Linked DNA regions of Elephas maximus indicus. The main gene of each other region encodes a partner of the protein of the gene in region 3 in a complex. Links are inferred from orthologs where the notes say so. Each region holds a gene or a part of one and is shown on either strand. Other genes may lie near its edges.

Region 1 (7,565 bases), on a different chromosome or scaffold from region 3:
AGTGGATTCTGACTTATAGTGACCCCGTGTGACAGAGCAGAACTGTCTCGTAGAGTTTTCTTGGCTGTAATCTTTATGGACGCACATTGCCAGGTCTTTCTTCTGCAAAGCTGCTAGGTGGGTTTGAAACAACCACCTCTCAGTTAGTAGTCAAGCCCTTAACCACCGCACTACCAAGGTTCTTTATGGCTTCTTAGAAGACAATTAATTTTCTACCTAACTTGGTAAAAATTTTTGGACTACGAAAATTGTATGAGCATGGAAAGGGAGCTCTTTCTTAACTCCTTGGCCCCTCAAACAGCACAAAATTTCAGGTAAACTAAAATCTTGAGAAGCAGCATCCGAAACAGAAGAAGGATCAATTTGCTTTAAAATATTTAATGGGTCCATCAGTGCTAGATTTCCATATACCATCTACCTAGTTAGTTCTAGAATATATCCACCCTCTCTGACCAGCCACCACCCTCTAGAGTTGACTACACACACTTGCCCAGCACTTGCCCCACAGAATTCAAGACCTAGTGTAAACAGACACCACACCCTGCACATCACTGGATGTGGACTATAGTATATAAAAAGGTGGGAACAATCTCCAGAAGTGTCTGAAATCTGCTGTGAGATCTAGTCCACCCAACGCTGGTAGTGAGAGACAGCAAAGAAAGCCACAGGCAGGTGGAAGTATGATAACGTTGGCTGGGCTGAAAGTTGAGGAATGTATCCGATACTGGATACTAACAGCCTCTGGCCAGTCAGGCATCGAGCGTGATGTATTCTCACATTAGATAAGATAATGTTGTAATCATGAATGTTAGGTCACTGAGAACTGAATGCAGGCCCTTGTTAAATTCCTTTGGGAAAGATAGAATACCGAACTAGTGACTAGACCACTGACTACTGCATACACACACGTTTACCGTAAGGGTTTACAGTAAGGCTTTTCTCTTCGGAAAGAGAAACTAATGCTAAAACAAAACCACCACCAAATGTCCAAACAAATCCACTGCGATGGAGTTGATTCAGACTCACAGTGGCCCTATGAATTATAATATATATATAACTGCCCCATTGGATTTCCAAGGCTGTAAATCTTCAGGGAAACAGCGTGCCACATCTTTCTCCCACAGAGCTGGTGGTGGGTTCAAATCACTGACCTTTCAGTTATCAGCAAAGTGCTTAACCACTGCATCACCAGGGCTCCTTAAAACCTGAACATCACACTACAATCATGCCAGGATGAACGGCTCTAAACACTTTTTGGCCACTTAACACTCTTTGGATACAGTTTATCGCTCCCACAAAAAAAAATACACACTTTTTTCCTAGAGACAGTCTTCCTCATAATAGTAGGAGGAGAAACTAACTGCAAATTTTGAGGTTGATAAAGTTTCATGAAAACAAGAACCACAAACAAAACAGAAACTACAAGAACCCCAAAACAAGACATCTCAAAACTCTAGAGCAGCGCTGTCCAATTATGCCAGCCCCAAATGTAATTTCAAATTTTCTAAGTCACATTAAAAAAAGTAAAAAACAACAAAAAACTCTAATAAAACAACACACACACAGAAAACCCCAGATGAAATGAATTTTGGTAACATCTTTTATTTAACCAAATATATCCGCATTATTATTTGAAGACGCAATCGATATAAAAATACTGATGAGTTAGTTTAAATTCGTTTCTTTGTACTAAATCTTCGAAATCCGGTGTGTATCTTACACTGACAAAGCACATTTCCGTTCGACTGACCAGTCGCTCAACAGCTGCCTATGGCTAACAACTGCCTACCTATTGGACAGCACAGCCCTAGAGCCCACTTTCAAAAAAACGAGAAAAAAAAAAAAAAGCAAACAAAAACAAACCCACTACATAAAGAACTCAATTTCAATACATCGGGCATTTCGAGATGGGCTGTGATGGCAGGTCTCTGGTATATGGTACCAGCCTAGGAAAGTCAGAGGAGGAACGGCGGGACGCAGAGAGAAGGCAGTGAAGAGGAGATGAGCGGACGATTCCGAGTGTGCACCTCGAGAGGCTGGTTCCTCCCACCCTGCCAGCCCCAAGCTTTGAAGGACTAGCCCAGAAATGACGACGGGGAGGGCCGACCCCAGGCGGTCACTGCCGTTTGAGCTCTACAGTCCGCCTACCCGGGGCGGATATCGTGGGAGGGGGTGCCGCCGAGTTAGGCGCCCTACCTGTCGAGCAGCGGAGTGTGAATGTGCAGATGCTTCACGGCCACCTGAACACGCCAGTCCGAGTGGCGGGCCGACGACACGGTGCCCGAGGCGCCGCGGCTCAGGTAGCGCAGGTCGGCGAGCTTCTGGTAGGGAATGGTGGGCAGGGCGCTGCAGATGGCCTCCCCGTTCATGGTCGCTGGCGGCGCGGGCACTCAGGCCGAAGGCCCGTTCCGGGTGCGCTCTCTGCTCCCGCGGCTCCCCGGCACGCGCGCGCTTGGGTCCGCTCCGGCGCCAGGCGGACGGGAGGTGTTCCTGCTCCCAAATACTAGGTCACAAGGCCGCCCATTCCCAGGCGGCCCACGCCCGCCGCCGTCGGACCCCGCGCTGCCGGCTGCTTTTCCCCGGCCTCAGCACACTTTTCTGGAAAGTGGGGTCAAGTCTTCAGCGCCGCGGCGAGGAGGAGCTTCCTCTCCTAGACTGGGCCCTCCCAGGCGCGCCCCGCCGGCGAACCCCGGCGCCGAGCTCCTCCCTCTCCAAACTTCTCAGGCGACGTCAGCGGGCTAGCAGAGGGGGGCGTCCGCCTGCGTCCTCCGGGGAAGGCGCTCGTCTCAGCCTGCGGCCCCCACTGTCTGTCCGATTCTGGCGGGGCTAGGGCGCGGGGGCGAGGCAGCCAGTGGCACTCCTTTTGTCTTCACCCCTCTCCGAATATGGAAAAGTCTTCCTTTTGGGAAAGTTCCTCAACGCAGCCGGCTGGCGGGTGTGTGATTGGTCAGCGGGAGCCCCCACTCGGGTGGATTCTCTGTCTCGGCCGCGTGCAGTCGGGAGAGTAGCCAAACTCCAGAGGTAGGGGCGTGATCCCGGCTCCCTACTCTGCGCCTGCGCGAGGAGCGCTTCGCGGAGCGCGCCGTGTTCCACGGCAGGCAAACCCGTGGCCGACGAGTAGATTCTGACCCTTAGTGACCCTATAGGACAGGGTAGAGCTGCCCCATAGCAAGGAGCGCCTGGTGGATTCGAACTGCCAGCATTTTGGTTAGCAGCCGTAGCACTTAACCCCTATGCCACTGCGAACCTGGACTCCAGTCTTCCTTCACTTGCAGCCACTTGACGAGTGAGGGAAAGGTGATAAATCTCCTCAGAGCGGAATACCCTCGGCTGTGTTTTGCTCTGGGCACACGCCCGCCTACTAGGAATCTGGTTTTCTTCCTCCTCTTTTCCAATGTCCATAATAATATATCGGGATTGAAAATGAACCTGAGAAAATCCATCTAACTCCAGATAAGAGTGCAAAGATTTCTTTTTTATAGATAAAAGAGGATTGCAAGCAGTGTCTAATGCCAACCGAAAAAGACTGCAAACATCTTTCCATTTTTCCACTTAAAAACAAAGACAAAACCAAAAGTCCCACTTTTCTACTTAAGTGATTATATCGTGAGTGCAAATATTATATACAACTCCAAGTCCATACTAGGAATTTAGTGAATTGTAATGCAGTAAAAAGAAATGCCTGACTTGAATAAAGGACTTCTGCGTACAGAGAACCAGTCCTTCCTGTATTTGTGCACAGCGGGAAATTGTAAAGAAATGTTATGTTTAAAATTTTGATGATTTAAAACAAATTGCTTAGCTTTGAAGATATGATCTGCTGTGCTGTGCTTTATTGTTTGTTGTTGAACTTTTTGCTCCTAAAAGTACTCAGAAAACTTTCTCATTGAGCCATCCATCCATCTCACAAACTAAGAGTTCCAGAAAAAGAGAACAAAAAAATCAGCAGGGAGGGAATGATCACAATAATAATTGAAGAAATTTTGCCAGGACTGAAGGACAAGGGTCTCCATATTGAAATGACTCACCTGGTGTCCACAGTGAACTGAAAAACCTACATTAAAGCACATTCTTAAGAAGATCAAAACATTAAGAATAAAGAGAAGACTCAAAGTTTTTAGAGGAAAGAAACAAGAATAAAGGCATGGGAAGGAGCATGGCTTGGATTTATCAAGAGTAATAATATATTTTTTTAAATAATTATATAGGGTTGCTATGAGTCGGAATCGACTCGATGGCACTGAGTTTTTTTTTTTAAATAATATTGTGAGCTAAAAAAAACAATGGAGTGAAATTTCTTCAAAATTATGAAGGAAATTGGCTTCCAACCTTGAATTTTATAGTCAGCTGAACTATCTAACAAGTATAAGGGTGAAATAAACATTTGCACATATACAGGGGTACAAATATTTGCTTTCCATTAGCCTTGTTTTAGAAAGCTACTAAAGTATGTACCCCAACAAAACATGGGTGTAAGCCAGAAAAGAAAAAAACAAAACATGGGTTCCAGAAAACCAGGATCAGGAGAATGGAGAAGTGAAACCCCAGGGCATGTGTCAGAGTGGGGAGAAACCCATTTTCAATGGGACAGGAGGATGGAAGGCTTCAAGAGGAAAGGCTTTAGAAAAATATTTAAATTTATAGATGATCTAATTTTGAGTATTTGGGAGACTGTATTAATAGGTGTTTGATAGATCTAATGAAATATGTCTGAAAAACTGGACATAGAACTGAAAAAAATAAGGCAATTACTATTCTATGAAAAATAAAAATTATACAAGTAAGGAAACAACACTTCTTTAAACAGTTCTGTGGTGGTGAACAGGTGAAAATTGTAGGGCTAAAGTTGAACATATGTAGCCCCTATGAACCAGCAATTCCTCTCATAGATATGTGGGCCTATGTATGTATATGCTAGAATGTCTATAACAGTGTGACTTATGATAGCCTCAAATTATATATAGCCCATTAACAGAAGAAATGGATAAATTGTGCTTCATTTACACAATAGAACACTAAAGTCAATGAGATTGAACAATCTACAATAATATTGTATGAAAAAAGGCAGACACAGAAGAGAACGTACTGATAAGTCCATTAACATAAAGTGTAAAATAAATTAATCTATGCTGTGAGAAATTAAGACAGTGGTTACTCTTGTGGGGGGATGTAGTGAGTAGAAGGGGACATGATAAGGCTTCTGGGGTGCTAGTAATATTCTGTTTCTTGATGTAGAACCTAGATTTTAGGTGCCAGTTACATGAGTGTGTTCAGTTTATGAAAATTCTTTGAGGTTAGATTTATGTACACTTTGCTCAATGTATATTATACTTCAATAAAAAGTTAAAAGGTTTAAATATAAAATAAATATATATTGTTGTTGTTAGGGGCCATCGAGTTGGTTCCGACTCATAGCAACCCTATGCACAACAGAACGAAACACTGCGGGGTCCTGAGCCATCCTTAAAATCGTTGTTATGCTTCAGCTCATTGTTGCAGCCACTGTGTCAGTCCACCTCACTGAGGGTCTTCCTCTTTTCCGCTGACCCTGAATTCTGCCAAGCATGATGTCCTTCTCCGGGGACTGATCCCTCCTGACGACATGTCCAAAGTTATGTAAGACACAGTTTCGCCATCCTTGCCTCTAAGGAACATTCTGGCTGTACTTCTTCTTTTGGCAGTCCATGGTATATTCAATATTCTTCGCCAACACCACAATTCAAAGGCGTTGGTCAGTTCTTCTTCGGTCGTCCTTATTCATGTCCAGCTTTCACATGCATATGGTGCTATTGAAAATACCATAGCTTGGGTCAGGTGCACCTTAGTCTTCAAGGTGACATCTTTGCTCTTCAACATTTTGAAGAGGTCCTTTGCAGCAGATTAGCCCAACGCACTGTGTCTTTTGATACTTGACTGCTGCTTCCATGGCTGTTGATTGTGGATCCAAGTAAAGTGAAATCCTTGACAAATTCAGTCTTTTCTCCGTTTATCGTGATGTTGCTCATTGGTCCAGTTGTGAAGATTTTTGTTTTCTTTATGTTGAGGCGCAATCCATACTGAAGGCTGTGGTTTTTGATCTTCATTAGTAAGTGCTTCAAATTCTCTTCACTTTCAGCAAGCAAGGCTGTGTCATCTGCATAACGCAGGTTGTTTATGAATCTTCCTCCAATTCTGATGCCCCGTTCTTCATATAGTCCAGCTTCTCAGATTATTTGCTCAGCATACAGATTGAATAGGCATGGTGAAAGAATACACCCTGACGAACACCTTTCCTGACTTTAAACCAATCAGTATCACCTTGTTCTGTCTGAACAAATGCCTCTTGATTTATGTAAAGGTTCCTCATGAGCACGATTAAGTGTTCTGGATTTCCCATTCTTCTCAATGTTAGCCATAGTTTTTTATGATCCACACAGTTCAATGCCTTTGCATAGTCAAAAAAACACAGGTAAACATCCTTCTGGTATTCTCTGCTTTCAGCCAGGATCCATCTGATATCAGCAATGATATCCCTGGTTCCACATCCTCTTCTGAAACCGGCCTGAATTTCTGGCAGTTCCCTGTCGATACACTGCTGCAGCTGTTTTTAATGATCTTCAGCAAGCTTTTGCTTGCATGTGATATTAATGATATTGTTCTATAATTTCCACATTCGGTTGGATCACCTTTCTTGGGAATAGGCATAAATATGGATCTCTTCCAGTCAGTTGGCCAGGAAACTGTCTTCCATATTTCTTGGCATAGGTGAGTGAGCACCTCCAGTGCTGCATCTGTTTGTTGAAACATCTCAATTGATATTCCATCAATTCCTGGAGCCTTGTTTTTCGCCAACGCCTTCAGAGCAGCTTGGACTCCTTCCTTCAGTACCATCGGTTCCTGATCATATGCCACCTCTTGAAATGGTTGAATATCGACTAATTCTTTTTGGTATAATGACTCCGTGTATTCCTTCCATCTTCTTTTGATGCTTCCTGCATCGTTTAATATTTTCCCCATGGAATCCTTCACTATAGCAACTGGAGGCTTGAATTTTTTCTTCAGTCCTTTCAGCTTGAGAAATGCCAACCGTGTTCTTCCCTTTTGGTTTTCCACCTCCAGCTCTTTGCACATGTCATAATACTTTGTCTGCTCGAGACGCCCTTTAAAATCTTCTGTTCAGTTCTTTCACTTCACCAATTCTTCCTTTTACTTTAGCTGCTCAACGCTCGAGAGCAAGTTTCAGATTCTCCTCTGACATCCATCTTGGTCTTTTCTTTCTTTCCTGTCTTTTCAGTGACCTCTTGCTTTCTTCATGGATGATGTCCTTGATGTCATTCCACAACTCGTCTGGTCTTCGGTCACTAGTGTTCAATGCGTCAAATCTATTCTTGAGATAGTCTCTGAATTCAGGTGGGATATACTCAAGGTCATATTTTGACTCTCGTGGACTTGCTCTGATTTTCTTCAGTTTCAGCTTGAACTTGCATATGAACAATTGATGGTCTGTTCCACAGTCGGCCCCTGGCCTTGTTCTGACCGATGATAGTGAGCTTTCCCATCGTCTCTTTCCACAGATATAGTCAATT
Region 2 (7,164 bases), on a different chromosome or scaffold from region 3:
GTCCTTTGAAACAGGTATATGGAGAAAAGGGCATTAGCCAGATCAATAACAGCATACCAGGTACCGGGAGATGTATTAATTTGCTCAAGCAGTAAATTACATCCGGAACAGCAGGTGTAATTGGAGCAACCACCTAGTTAAGTTTTCAATAATCTACTGTCATTTTCCAAGATCCATCTGTTTTCTACACAGGTCAAATAGGCGAGTTGAATGCGGGTGTGGTGGGAATCATCACCCCTGCATCCTTCAAGTCCTTAATGGTGGCAGTAATCTCTGCAGTACCTCCAGGGATGCGGTATTGGTTTTCGTTTACTATTTTCCTAGGTAAGGCCAGTTCTAAGGATTTCTCTTGGCTTTTCCTACCATAATAGCCCTTACTCTATTTGTCAGGGATCCAATATGGGGGTTCTGCCAGTTGCTGAGTATATCTATTTAAATTATGCATTCTGGAACTGGGGAAATCACTACAGCATGAGTTTGGGGACCCACTGGACCTACTGTGAGATGGACGTAAGCTAAGACTCCATTAATAACCTGACCTCCATATGCCCCTACTCTGGTGGGCCACAGTGAAGTTTTGGGTCTCCTGGAATTAGTGTCAGTTAAGAGCCAGTGTCCAGTAATCCCTGAAAAGTCTGATTATTTCCCTTTCCTCAATGAACAGTTGGAAACCCTGGTGGCGTAGTGGGTAAGTGCTACGGCTGCTAAACAAGAGGTCGACAGTTCAAACCCACCAGGTGCTCCTTGGAAACTCTATGGGGCAGTTGTACTCTGTCCTATAGGGTCGCTGTGAGTCAGAATCGACTCGGCGGCAACAGGTTTGGTTTTTGGTTTAATGAACAGTCACTCATAAAAGGCCGTAGATCCCTTTGGGGAAAGCTGGGAGAAAAATTAACAGTAAAAGTTTTTAGCAGTGTATTGGAGTCATTCCTCAAGGGGACACAGCCTCTCCTTCATTCAAGGGGTTGTGGGTCTTTAGACTCACTCAAAGCTGGGAACTAACTAGTGACTCTCTATTCTGCCCATTCAAGTTACACTGCTATTCATCTAAACTAGAATTCATCTGTTTGTACAGATCAAGTAAATATTTCATAGTCTTCCGATCTGTTTCACTCCTAGGAACACCTTGACTAAGTAGCCAATGCTGTAAGTCCATAAAAGGCAGATTTTCTGATTACTGCTTTGACTCTGCAGTCCACTACTGTGACCACACCCACCTTGTCTTTGTCGATTGAGTGCAGCCACTTGGCCCCTACTATCACAGGGTCCAGTGAGCTTCATTTTAGTGTCTTAATTCAGTTAGGGTAGTTCCCACTGTCAAATCTGATTTACTTAAGATAGCAATCACAGCAGTCTTCAAGGATCCCGGAGCTCCCTTCACAAATTTGTTCCTCACAGTTGTGGTAAAAGGTGTGTCCTCTGGTACTCCATGTGTGAGTCTGTGGGTCTAACCTAATAAATCCACTCCAGCATACCAATTTCCCTAAGCCTTTGGATACCTTCTTCTACAGTATACCAATGTAGATCCAGTACTTCAACTTGATTTAGTGTAAGCCACCTCGTAATCCATGCTTCAGGGACCCAAACAAATAAACCATTAGATCCTTTCCTAACTTCTTGAGCTGAAACATGGAATAAAGGATCTGTGCTTAGTGGACCCATATCAATAAACTCAGACTGATCCATCTCGATCTTCATTGCGCCATTATCCCAAACCCTTTATAGCCATTCCCACACATTCCCCAGGTGTTTTTTGGTACATATTAGAAAAGTCAAGCAGGTCTTTTGGAATGTAGCATACCTCCTCCTGAGTCATACTTTGTACTTCACCTTTTGGGACTGGCTGGGACTTAAGTCTAGTTACAGGTCTAGAAGCCAGAATCCATAGTGTGAAATTGTTTTGAGAACATTCAGCATTGTCTTGTAAAGCATCTGCCTCAGTCAATGCCCCAGGCAGTGACTCAGGCAAGGGCTCTTTAGAGGCAGCTGGGCTAGGGCTAATCTCATTAGATAGGAGTGGAGGAGGTAATGGTTTTTCTGGGCAGAGTGGTTTAGCAGAGAAACATGAAGTAATCTCTTCAGCTGGGATTGGTTCTGCTGGCAGGAATGATTTAATGGAATATAGGGGCTGTGTCTCCAGCTTCCTGATTATCTGCCCATACGTCCCCATCCCAAGTTTCAGGATCCCATTTCTTCCCAATGCCCTTACTTTAACTTCAGACTCCTCTCAAGGTTGACAGTTGAGCTGGGCTTGTAATTCAGTCACTCTTACAGTAAGACTCTGAGTTTGGTTTCCAGAAATTTCAGCTCTGTTACTACAAGAAATAAGGCTTTTTTTTTTTCAAATCACAAGTGGAAGGATTGAGGTCATATATGTGGCACTTGAGCTTTAACTCTGAAGCCCTGAGCACATCTCTTTAACCAGTTTGTCTACCTACCAACCTACCAGCTTTCTTATACTTTTCATTCTAACAAAATTTAGAAAGATATCACGTGTGTTCATCCAGAGCCTTGCCTTTCACCAATACCTGATCTACTGGTGGTGATATTTTGCATAATTGTATTGCCACCTCACGCCATGAATTAGCAGTGCCCTCTTTATTGCTGGAAGTAGAGTCATCAACATCTTTAAGACTAACCAGACTTGAGAACCAATTTAGGAAACTCATCCTTACAATTCTGTTTCTCTAGAACCACTCTGTGTGCCAAATGTCTGAGGCTAGGTTCTCTAAGGAAGCAGAACTAGTAAAATATATAAATATATACATAGAGATTTATATCAAGGAAATGGCTTACACGAATGTAGAGGCTTGAACATCCCAAGTCTGTGGATCAGGATAGAGGCTTCTCTTGATTCACGTAGCCACAGGGGCTGGAGAACCCACGATCAGCAGGTCTGAGAACAGTGCTCTTGCTCACAGGCTGTGAAGATCGATGAATCTGAAAATCTGCAGATAAGCTAATAGCTCAAGTCCCAAGAGCCGGAGGTCAGACGAACAGGAGACAGCCGTAGGATCCAGAGTGAGCAAAAAAGCTAAAACGTCTGGTTATATTCGGATGTAGGCCACATCCCCAGGGAAAATCCCTTTCAACCGATGGAGTACTTACAGCAGATTCAATCATGAAGGTGATCACCCATAAACAGCCAAGTTAACACATAATCTTAACCATCACAATTGCCTAGAAAGTTCCTTTGCTTCTGGATAGCTTAGAGGAGACAAAGTAGAACTCTAGAAGACAAGTAGTAAGGACCAAGCTTCTTAAGAAGCAGTAGAGCAGAGTGGCAGGGAAAGCCTTGGATCTCCATCACGTAGCTCTGTGTCATAGAAAAAGTTACTCAGTAGGGGTTGCGTTTCCTGACTTTTAGGATTGTTCCAAAAATTAAAGATGCTTAACACAGTACCTATGAGTTGGAATCGACTTGATGACAACAGGTTTGGTTTTGTTTTTTTTTTTGGTTAACACAGTACCTAGTATGTAATAAGTGCTCGGTAAGTAGTAGCTGCTTACAAGGACTTGTTCACTGTGTGAGGTGAAAGAATGAAAGAAGAAACTTTAGCTTATACTTCCAGGTTTCGTAAACCAATTCACCACCCTAAATGAGAAGTTGGGATGCCAAAGCCCAGTTTAAGAATAAAAATTCTGTGGTAGGTTGGAATTTCCTGGTACTGTACCTCTTGGGAATTTAAGCATCGTATACTAGTGTTATGTGAGTTATACCATTTTGGTGCCAAGTTCTTTGTTTTTTCTTTTAGCAAGGTGAAAATAGTATAAAGTCTTCTTATTGACTGAAGGGCTGCGTTCTTAAAATGGCCTGATCTGTTGAAACAGAAATAAGCTGCAATCTATATCTTAATGTGGGAGGGGGCATACAAATGTAAAAATTTATCCAGGTGCACATTTATTTGTGCACTTTGTGTACTTCACTGTTAATATCTTGGTTAAAGGGAAGAAAGGAAGGAAGTAGAAAGGACATTGCTCAGCTCACAGAAACCTTTAGCAATAAAGGTGAAGCTTGGGTTAGGGTGGTAATGCTGATACAAAAATGTTCATATAAAGTACTAACATGCAGAAATAATCATTCGGATAATGAATATAGTGCAGTGGTTTTAGTGGTTTTATAATGGCTGATTTTGATTGACTTCTATTTTCTTTATATTCTAGTTAATAAAAGTATCCATGGAGAACACTGAAAACTCGGTGGATTCGAAATCCATTAAAAATTTGGAAACGTGAGTATTTAAATGGAACCCTGTATAATCAGAGAAAAATCGGTATGTTTAAATGGCAAACTGAGGAGTGGGGAAGCAGAGCGTATATGAGCTTTCTAGCCAGAGAGACCAAGTTGACTTCTTCCCTCAGACAGCTGTGTGACTTTACACAGTTAACCTCTCTGAATCTCATCCTTATAACTTTCGTGGAATTGTGAAGAGGATTAAGGGAGGCATCTAAAGATCAAGCACGGTGTCAGTCCCATAGTCAGAAACCCAGTCCTGGAACTGAAAGAATGCACCAGGAAAAACCAAACCCACAAGTTTAGTTGGTTCTGTACCTTCCCAGATTGCTCTGCTGAAGGATTATAGGTTTTGTGTTTGTGGGAAGTTTTTTGGCCTCCTGTTAATGTATAACTTTTAAGACTAAAATGAAACGGCAGCTCTCACTGCCTGTTGTCAGATGCCATCGAGTTGGTTTCAACTCAGAGCAACCCTATGCACAACCGAATGAAACACTGCCTGGTCCTGTGCCGTCCTCACACAATTGTTGCTATGCTTTGGCCCATGGTTGTAGCCACTGTGTCAGTCCATCTCGTTGAAGGCCTTCCTCTTTTTCGCTGACGCTCTGCTTTACCAAGCATGATGTCCTTCTCCAAGGACTGATCCCTCCTGACAACATGTCCAAAGTATGTGAGATGCAGTCTTGCCTTCCTTGCTTCTAAGGAGCATTCTGGTTGTACTTCTAAGACAGATTTTTTTGTTCTTTTGGCAGTCCACAGTATATTCAATATTCTTTGCCAACACCACAATTCAAAGGCGTCAGTTCTTCTTCAGTCTTTCTTATTCATTGTCTAGCTTTCACATTCATATGATGCTACTGAAAACACCATGGCTTGAGTCAGGTGCTCCTTGCTATTCAACACTTTAAAGAGGTATTTTGCAGCCGATTTGCCCAGTTCAATGTGTCTTTTGATTTCTTCGCTGCTACTTCTATGGGTGTTGATTGCGGATCCAAGTAAAATGAAATCCTTGACAACCTCGGTGTTCTCTCCATTTATCATGATGTTTCTCCGTTTATCATGATGTCCTTCTTCCTAGGCTGTCTTAGTCTGGAAGCTCAGCTGAAAGCTGTCCACCATGGGTGACCCTGCTGGTATTTGAATAACAATGTCATAGCTTCCAACATCACAGCAACACACAAGCCCCCACAGTACAATAAACTGACAGATGAAGTGTGGGGGTCTCAGTGCCTAGTTATGAATTATCTTTTACCCTTTGTTTTTCTCTGGTCTTTCTTTTTGGAATATTGTAATTATAAATGCTTCTAGTAACTATCAAGTTCAGGAGGGGAAAAAGTTAAAACTCAAATATTCTTAATTTAATTCATATCTATTATTATCGATTAGAATTTCTTGTGATACTTTTAATTCTAATAATTTCTTTCAGGGACTCAATATCCTCTGGGTTAACCCAAGAATTACAAATTAATTTTAGTACTAAACAATATTATTACAGCAATATTGTTAACAAGTTGTCAATAAAGATTTAAAACCAAAAAAACCAAACCCATTGCCATCAAGTTGATTCTGACTCACAGCGACCCTATGGGACAGAGTAGGACTGCCCCCATTGAGTTTCCAAGGAGCGCCTGGTGGGTTCGAACTGCCGACCATTTGGTTAGCAGCTGTAGCACTTAACCACTATGCCACCAGGGTTTCCAATAAAGATTTTTCAGTGTTTAATTACCTTTAGGGAACTGGGTTATAGGTAAAGGAATTATCCTAGAAATTGAGCCTTTGAAATGTAATTCCATTTAAAATATAATTCCATTAAAGTAGTTTTTGAAACCTTTGTAAAGTGATTTACACATTTTCCTTCCTACTTTTCATTATCATATAGAACATCACTTAAATAGCAAATTACTCGGGAGCCCAAAACAGGTTTAGGACCATTATGGTCCTATGATTAGTTACCTTCACATTTGCAAGCATTTTGGGTCTCTGTTCTTCATCAGGATCAGGTGTGTCCACTCTCAGTCTAGCTATCACACATTGCCGCCTGTCTCTTTAGGAGGGAAATGGGGCTTATAATTCTGTGACTCATTATCTAGGGGTCTCTGGGTGGTGCAAATGTTTTGTACTAGACTACTAACCAAAAGGTTGGTGGTACAGATTCACCCAGTGGTGCCATGGAAGAAGGACTGTGTGATTTAGTTTTATAAAGAAAGATTGCAGTCATTGAAAACCCTGTGGAGCACAACTTTACTCTGAAACGTGGGGTCACCATGAGTCAGAACTGACTTGATGGCAATGGGTTTGCATTTTTTTTTTGTTGTTTTTTGACCTCTCATTTCCTGATTCTTGGTCTAGATCAGGGTCAGGCTTGTGGTTTGCTTTTGTCAGGTTTTATGGACACAGCCACACTCATTCGTTTACATATTGTTCAGGGCTGTTTTCACCAGCAGAGTTAAGTAGCTGCAACAGAGACTCTATGGCCTATAAATCTAAAATACCATCTTGCCCTTTAAGAAAAAATTTGCAGATCTGTGGTTTTTGGATAAATGATCTCCAAACAAGTATTTTCAATTGTTTATAATAGTGCTTTTATGTATTAATAAATTATTAGTTTGTTCAGCTCATAGAGTTTAAGGAACAATTTATGAATTTTGATAAATATTGTGCTTTGAGTCATATTTGCATGTTTTTGGTTTCCTATAATTTGGGGGTAATTTTCAAGATATTGCTCTTAACTTGGAGGATAAAATACTTCACAGAATTAAAGTATAAAACCTATTCGAGGGCAGAGCAAACATGGCGCTATAGACAGAAGCACCACACTGTCCCTCCATCGCAAAGACCTAAAAAACTAAAACAGAGAAAACATCAATCCTGGAACCTTAAGCATCAAATGAAGAGATAATGCAACGTAGCATCAAATGGAATAAGAAAGT
Region 3 (7,911 bases):
GACAGTTCATGATAATCTCCCTGCCTTAAAGAACAAGGGCATCTATTTTGCCTTAATCATCTTTGGAGCCCTACAATAGTACAATTCCTGGTACACAGTAGGTGCTCAAAAATGTTTTTTATAAATCACTCTTCTTCCCCCACTAGCATCAGCTAACCCAGTACCCAGTGCCGCAAAGTATTAGATGAAACGAAAACTGTAAAATCTCATTATTTCACATTTGGGGTCTCTAAGCCTTTACAACATAAACAAGGGACTTAATAAAGGAATAAATGTTTACAACCAAATGTAAGGGGAATATTTATGTTACTTAAATATTTCAAGTACTTTACAAATTAACTGGTACATTAATTACAATAACTCTGTTGAAATGGGCCTAACCTTTAGTCAGCATTACTTTGTCAGCCGAGTTGGAGTCATCGAACGTACCAGAAAGCAATAAAATCACAGTCGTAGTACAAAGGGCACTGGACTAGCACCTAGATCCCAGTAGAAACTCTGTTAATAACCAGATATATAACCTTGGGCAATTCATTTTTTTCTTCTTTGGGTCTTAAGTCATCTACTTGTAAAAACAAGAGAGCTAAACTACCAATCACCTGGGACTTTTCCAGTCTAAAAAAAAAATTTTTTTTTATCCACAAAGATTCTATAATTCAGGTTCTGTAGTGTCAAATTTGATTTTCTGAATGTTATAGTTTGTTACATTATCTGACAATCAAGAAGCTTACAACATTTTCTAAAACTAAATACCATAAAGACCAGCAACATAAATCATTTTTACCGTATTTTGGAAACCCTGGTGGCGTAGTGGTTAAGTGCTACAGCTGCTAACCAAAGGGTCCGCAGTTGGAATCTGCCAGGCGCTCTTTGGAAACTCTATAGGGCAGCTCTACACGGTCCCATAGGGTCACTGAGTCAGAATCCACTTTACGGCACTGGGTTTGGTTTGGTTTGGTTTTTATATTAGGAGCAACAGGAGAAAACCAAAGGAAAAACGTGAGCCTCCAATAATCACGCCTGCCTTGCCACTTGGACTGACATGAACCACACTGGATTTTACAAAAGAAACCATAAAACTTTATACATACACACACCCCACTGATACATATTTATATTGACATATATGCACACATGAACTTTACAACGTTCTTAATTATAAAATACTTGTTTATGGTAAGAAATTCCAACAGTACATTAGGCCACATGTGAACTGCAAATTAAAAGTCTCCCAACATTTTTTTAACCTAACTGTTGCCACTTCTAATGATGGGGGGAAAATCTCAAGCACTGGCTTCTTAACTATAGTAAATACGCTGAAGTGGTACTCGGTAGAGCTAGGGCTTCGCATAGTCACTGGCACAAACTAGTATACACTTCAGGTATGTGCACTGAACTGAACACATTTCATTTTCGTACTTGGAGGCTATGTGGAACAGTTGCACAGAAGGAACTGTAAGCAAGGAGCCAGACAACCTGGAGTCTAACTAACAGAGTGACCTTTAGGGAAGCCATGAAATCTCCCTATACCTTAATTTCTGCTTTTGTAAAATCACAAGGTTGGCCTAAGATCCCTTTCAACTCTAAAATGTTATAATTCTAAGATGGCCGTCTCTAACAGCGTTCTCTTGAACTGATCGCAACAATTATTAAGAAAAAAAGAAGAAACACTATAGCAATCTTTTACCTTCAATAATTCTTTTACCTTAGCAGAGTAAATTTCTGACTCCTTAGTTATCAAAGTATAGTTGTGAGAGAAGTAGTTATATAGTTATATTTGAAAGCAAAGTAGTAAATAATTAAAATCTGATAGTTTTTTTTAACTAAGCTTCGATTGGCGTTTTCCTTTTTTGGAGGTGGGGAAGACTGTTGCTTAGTTTTAGCAATAATCACTACCCCCCCCCCAAAAAAACCAAACAATTAAGTGTATTATAGAGTTAAAATAATGAAACTGAAAGTTAAATTGATATTTTGTTTTACTCACAGAATATGCTGGGGAGGTGACTTGGGCAGCAAAGGTTGGAAAAAATTACTAGCTAATTTCCTCTTCCAGATGCTCTTTGGCCCCTATTCTTTCAGTATCACACAACCTTGCCAGACAAATTCCACCCTGCTCCACACAGGCCGCGGGCATCACACTGTGGGAGGAGGGTGTCCCTCTGATCAGAAAAAAAAAGTTCTTGGAGCTTTGGGTTCACGGGGTTAGGGAGGCGGCCGGGCAGGCCTGGAGGCAGCCACCCGCTCAAGGCTTGCTTGGCCAGTCCCGGGTGCCCCGGCCAGGAGCCTTCCTGCCCTCCCCCGCAGCGCCGGGCCCCAGGGCCAGGGAGGGGAAGGGAGAGGAGGAGGAGAGCAGGGCAGAAGGGGGAGGAGAGGAGCCCGCACCGGCAGTACCCACCGTGCCTGGGGAGCGTGCCGGATCGCCAGCGGCGCCAGCCGGGGTCCCGCGGGGTGGGTCCCGGAGAAGGGGCGGCCCGAGCCCCAATCTGCAAAAGCCAACTCGCTCTGCGGCCCGGCCCCTGCCTAGAAGGAAACGGAAGTGCCTTCGTCGCCCTCACTCGCGTCCAACAGCCGGCCCATCCCCGAGAGGAACCCTAAGTCGGGGCCCCGAAGCGCGTCCACGTCGGGGCGTCACAGAGGCACCGGGCGCGCGCCCTCCTTCTCCCAGCCCGAGCCGCGCCACGGGGCCTCCGCAGCCTCCTGTCCACCCGCCCCCGCCGGGAGGTCGGCCTCCCGCCCTGCAAAGCCCCACCTTCTTCCCCCCTCCGCCATTTTCGAACTTACCTTGCGGACCCTGGCGTCCTTCGGTGAGCTCCGCGCCCGCCGAGATGCCCACACGGTCCTGCCACTCCTCTGCGCGGGAAGGGGGCGGCCAAGGAAAATGAAACCCTGTTCTCTCCCCACCCCCTACCCGGGTGGGAACCAGAACCTGCCGAAGCGGGCGCACATGCGCGATGGGCACCTCGCAGTCCCCGCCCCTAGCTCTAGTTTTTCCTCTCAGCTTCCAGGATGTTTTTTCCCACGGCTTTTACCTGCTCGGCTGTGGGGTTGAGGAGTAGGGGAAGGAGACGTAAAGCAATGAAAAAGAGGAGGGAGAAGGGAACGAACTTGTTGAGTTCTTACTGTAGACCAGGCACTGCCAGACATAGAACGTGTCATTTGCGGTCATTTTGAGTAGGCGGGAACCCTAGTGGCGTAGTGGTTAAGTGCTACGGCTGCTAACCAGAAGGTCGATAAGTTCAAATCCACCAGGCGCTCCCTTGGAAACTCTACGGGGCAGTTCTACTCTGTCTTATGGGGTCGCTCTGAGTCGGAATCGACTCGATAGAAATGGATTTTTGTGTTTTATGAGGTAGGCACTGTCTTATTAAACCCATTTTATACCAAGAACTGAGGCCCAAAGAGGATAACTATCCTGAAATCACGCAGCTAATAAACGAGGGAAATGCAATTAGAATAGAAACTGTTTTCCAAGGAGAAAAGATGAGAGGAATGACAGGAGGAGAGAGAGAGAGAACAAAAGGCATTGGGAGACAAAGGAAAATGAATAGGGACAAAGGAAAGCAGGAGGGGAAACAAAGGAAGTGTAGGCACATAATATACTGACCATACCCCAGATTTATTTCACATATGCTGTAGGATTGTCAGACCTACATATGAACTTTTGTTCAGGAACTTGGGCTCTCCTACAGGCTAGTGTAAGATGATAAGCTCTGAATGAGACGGTTTAATTTCAAGAGAAAGATCATAAATATCACCTGCATCCTCAAATGATGCAGCCCCTAATGAAAAGGGAACTTGGAGGGAGGAGAGGAAAGAATTTTCTTTTTGAATCTTAGGCTTTTGCTTAAGTTGTTATTATTCTTTGTGATTCTCTCCCACTGTCACAGCTCTGGTAATCTCACATCTGATTTATTGTAATAATAGTAATTTTGAGCAAATGTTTCTTGTTTAATTCTCATAACAGTCTTATGAAGTATGGAACTGTTTTTATCCCCATTTAACAGATGAGGAAACAGAGGCTTAGAGAGTTTAAGTATAAGCAGGAGCTAGAGCAGCGATTCAAACCCCAATCTGTCTGATTACATGTACGTTTGACCATTACAAAGTCTCCTAACTGGCTTCTCTGCCCAGAGGCTGGATCCCCCAATCTAGCCTGTACAAAGCCATATGGGTTAAGCCCTTTAACACTTCTACCGCCTCCAGGATAATGTCAGAACTCCTTAGCTTCATGTTCACTCTCCCCTTGGACCCCTACCCTATGTTACAACAAAATGGAACTACTCACGGTGCCCCTGCCTATCCCCAGCTTTCCTGCCTTCTGTTAATTGGTGATCCTATTATTTTCTGCTTTTAATTTTTTTTTATACCATATGTTTTCATTAATGGAAGTATGCTGAGTCATGGGGTGTGTTTAAATTTTTGGTGGGTAATATGGATTTTGAAAAATATCTGGACCTACATGGCTACCACTGAACTTGCTGTGTTCTCAAGCCAGCTGATTGACGGGTGACCATTTGTCCCAATGAACTTTGGTTGATGAAAATAAGATGGGGCGCCTTCCATTAGGTTACACGCAGGAACTTCTGGTTTTCCAAATATGACACAAAAAAACAAAACCAAGCCTATCAGGCCACCCTAACTAACACCCTGCCCAAAAAAAAAAAAAAAAACTGTTGCCCTCAAGTTGACTCTAGCTCATAGCAACCATATATATATATATATATATATATATATATATATATAAATTTACTATATAGGAAACCACAAATATGCTTACAAAGGTTATGCAGGGATACAAAAGCCAAAAGAGACAAACTTTTTACGCAATCACACTTCTGGGTTGCACTACTTGCAAGTTTCATACTCCAAATATTTTACTTCAACAAACTTTTCTTTCACCTTTCGCCTTTACGCAATCCCCACTGAAGGGCAGCAAATACTTCCAGCAGGAAAAGCATACACCCAAAGAACTGCAGAGGCATAAAAAGTGTTTTTTTTAAAAAAAAAAAAAAAAAACCATTGCAGTGAGTCCATTCCAACTCACAGTCACCCTATATGACACAGTAGAACTGCCCCAGAGAGTTTCCAAGGAATGCTTGGTGGATTCAAACTGCCAACCTTTTGGTTAGCAGCTGTAACTCTTAAAGACTACCCACGAGGGTTTCCAAAAATCGGATTATCTATGTTCACAGGTCACCAAAGGGTTAATTCCTTCTAACTGCTTCCTCTACCTAGGTAAAAAGACTTCCTCACACCAAGCCTTCTCTGATTCCCTTAGCCAAAGATCATCTCTTTTTTCTTCTAAAGTCTCCTAGCGCTTGAATTTGTGCCTGTTATGGAGCACAATGCTTTCTGCCCTGTAGTGTAGTTACTTGTGTACATGCCTTATCTCTCCTATATTGTAAGCTCATTCATGGCAAGATCAATGTCTACCTCATTTTTGTAATTCCTCCAAAACCCTTGGAGTCATCTTTAATACCTCTTTCTTGTTTGTATCCCATATCAAGTCCATCAGCAAATTCTGTCATCTCTATTTTCAAAATAACATATACCCAGAAGATCACTAATTCTCACCAACTCCACCAATATGACCCCAGTCCATCTCTTTCTTGGTTGACTATAATAGCCTCCTCACTGATGTCCCAGTTTACACTTTTACTCCTCTCTAGTCTATTTCACACAGTAGCCAGAGTTATCCTAATAAAATATAAGTCAGGTCATTGTCATTTCTCTGCTTGAATCCCTTCAATGACTCCTCATTTCACTCAAAATAAAAACTGCAGTTTTATCATGGCCTTTATAAAGCCTGTGCTAGCCAGTCACCAAGATGAGCCCCAATGATTTTCACCTCTTGCTAGTCACATCCTTGGGTAGGTCCCTTCTACGTTGAACCAGGACTGACTAGTGTGGCCAATAGAATACAGTGGAAATGATGGTATGTGACTTATAATACTAAGACATAAAAAGCCATTGTGACTTCTGCCTTACTCTTTCTTGGATTGCTTGCTCTGGGGGAAGCCAGTTGTCATGTCCTGAGGGTACTCAAACAGTGAATGGAGAGGCCCACACAAGGAGACTGAGCCCCACATCCCTCAGTTTCCTCCACTGATGGCAGGCACCAACTTGCTAAATATGTGAATGAGCTACTTTGCAACAGGAAATTTTCGCCCCAGGCTTCAGATGACTAGTCTCTTGAGACCCAGAGCCGGAACCACCCAGCTAAGCCATACTCTTAAATTCCTGTGTATTGTTATTTTAAGTAGCTAGATTTTAGGGCAATTTGTTACACAGCAGCAGATAACTAATCACAAAGGCCCTGCAGGGGTCTGGATTCCTGTTACCTTTATGCCCTTATCTCCTTGTTCCTTTAGCTTTCCTGCCTCAGGCAGGGCCTTTGCAGTTTGCTACTCTCTCTGCTCCAAACACTTCTGCCCGGAGCCAGATTTCTCTGTGGCTTGTCCTTCAACACCTTTAAGTCTTTGTTCAAATCACACCTTCTCAGTAAGTCCTATCCTGACCCCGCATTTAAAATGACAACTCCTCCTTCCAGCGCTCCCCATCTCCCTTCCCGTGCTCTATTTTTTTAATCTTTTTCCATGGCATCTATCACTTTATAACATACAATATGATTTACTTATATATTATGTTTATTTATTGTCTGTCTCCTCCATCCCATCCTTATTAGAATATAAGCTCCAAGAGGACGGGGATCTATCTGTTCACTGATCTAGTCCAAGTGCTTAGAACAGTGTCTGAAACAGAGTAAGTGCTCAAGAGAAATTTGCTGCAAGAGTGAGTAAAAATTTCATGAGCATACCAGATTCCTGATAGATACTTCTTGAGTGAGTTGTCAATTGTTCCTATAGCAAAGGCAGTTACACCTGGGGCATGGTGACTAGGTTTCATATGCCGGGACATACACAGAAAAATGCAAGCTACAATCTGTGAAGAGTATTGTTTTTTACTTGTATAAGTGTGTTTTGTTGTAATTCATTTTGGTTGAGGAGAGGAAACATTTAGATAGGGAAAGAATGAAGATATATAAACTTGAACCTTATAAAACTGACAATGTTTCAAACAGAAATTTCATATGATTCAACCTAATAGGTGAAAGGAAAATTAATGGTATAAAGAGAGGAAATGAGAAAGAGATGGAATCAAACCTAAGGAGAGGCATTAGCTTTGAATAGGAAGGAGGAAACATTTTCAGAGACTAAAGGACACAGGAAATGGAGATTAAGTAGAAGGGAATTTTGAAGGTGGTAGCCACACCTCAATGGCAGTTGAAAAGTAAAATGTGGGAGGGAAAAAAAAAAGCTGCAAAGTATCTGCTTAGGGGAACAGAAAAGATTTTAGAACAATGGGTTCCAAACATTTTCTCAAGTACTAGAGTCCTTTGTGCAAAAGCAGTAGTAAGTTAAACCTCAAATAATAAATTAGATGAACAGCAGAGCTACTTTGAATGAAGATGGGGGGTAAGGCGAGCCCCCCTTTCCAGGCCTTGCCCTTGGAGCCATCAGTTTTATGTAACTTCTTCTGGCAGAAAGGGGTGCACACCTGCATACGATTATTCCTGAGAACAGCCTCTGTGAAGATCATTCACTCATGTCCAACAACATCTACCAAGACCACCTGTCCCTCAGGCTTCTGACTTTTGCACTGGGTGTCTTGATGTCCAACCTCTCACTCCCTCCTTGGTGACAGAAAGACTGCAACTGTAATTTCCTCTCTTTGAGCAGTCATAAAGATGCCCACCTTTATCTTGTGTGTGTAAAACTAGCATCTCCAGCCAGCCCTCCCTTCCCCTTCTCTGCCTTTATCTTCCAGGAACTCAGTCATGCATTTCTGGAGACTTGTTTTTTGGTTGGGGTGAGGACAGAGGGGCTGCCTCTCATTTCAAGCTTAAGGGAA

What was found.
Region 1: the proteins of XIAP (region 3) and RIPK2 are in contact, whole or in part, in a cryo-EM structure (PDB 8AZA), measured with the Homo sapiens proteins. The link is inferred for Elephas maximus indicus from reciprocal best matches to the Homo sapiens genes XIAP and RIPK2. Residues at the interface, in NP_001158.2 of Homo sapiens: Lys208, Asn209, Trp210, Glu211, Pro212, Cys213; in NP_003812.1 of Homo sapiens: His136, Asn137, Met138, Thr139, Pro141, Ile208, Asp278, Glu279, Arg280, Ser282, Lys285.
Region 2: the proteins of XIAP (region 3) and CASP3 are in contact, whole or in part, in a crystal structure (PDB 1I3O), measured with the Homo sapiens proteins. The link is inferred for Elephas maximus indicus from reciprocal best matches to the Homo sapiens genes XIAP and CASP3. Residues at the interface, in NP_001158.2 of Homo sapiens: Ala137, Leu140, Leu141, Gly144, Gln145, Val146, Val147, Asp148, Ile149, Ser150, Asp151, Thr152, Ile153, Tyr154, Asn226, Leu231, Gly232, Arg233, Asn234; in NP_001341706.1 of Homo sapiens: Tyr204, Trp206, Arg207, Asn208, Ser209, Lys210, Asp211, Trp214, Gln217, Lys242, Thr245, Glu246, Phe247, Glu248, Ser249, Phe250, Phe252, Thr255, Phe256.

Annotation. Positions count from the first base shown.
Region 1 is NC_064833.1:52,120,564-52,128,128, forward strand, and holds the start of RIPK2 (receptor-interacting serine/threonine-protein kinase 2), read right to left. Parts: upstream 3,002-7,565; 5' UTR 2,370-3,001; coding exon 2,197-2,369; intron 1-2,196.
Region 2 is NC_064839.1:83,406,723-83,413,886, reverse strand, and holds the start of CASP3 (caspase-3), read left to right. Parts: upstream 1-4,163; 5' UTR 4,164-4,179; coding exon of another isoform or gene 4,180-4,232; intron 4,233-6,987; exon of another isoform or gene 6,988-7,017; 5' UTR 7,018-7,164. UniProt on the Homo sapiens protein: Thiol protease that acts as a major effector caspase involved in the execution phase of apoptosis. Following cleavage and activation by initiator caspases (CASP8, CASP9 and/or CASP10), mediates execution of apoptosis by catalyzing cleavage of many proteins.
Region 3 is NC_064846.1:32,786,480-32,794,390, forward strand, and holds the start of XIAP (E3 ubiquitin-protein ligase XIAP), read right to left. Parts: upstream 3,004-7,911; 5' UTR 2,782-3,003; intron 2,521-2,781; 5' UTR 2,396-2,520; intron 2,390-2,395; exon of another isoform or gene 1,985-2,389; intron 1-1,984.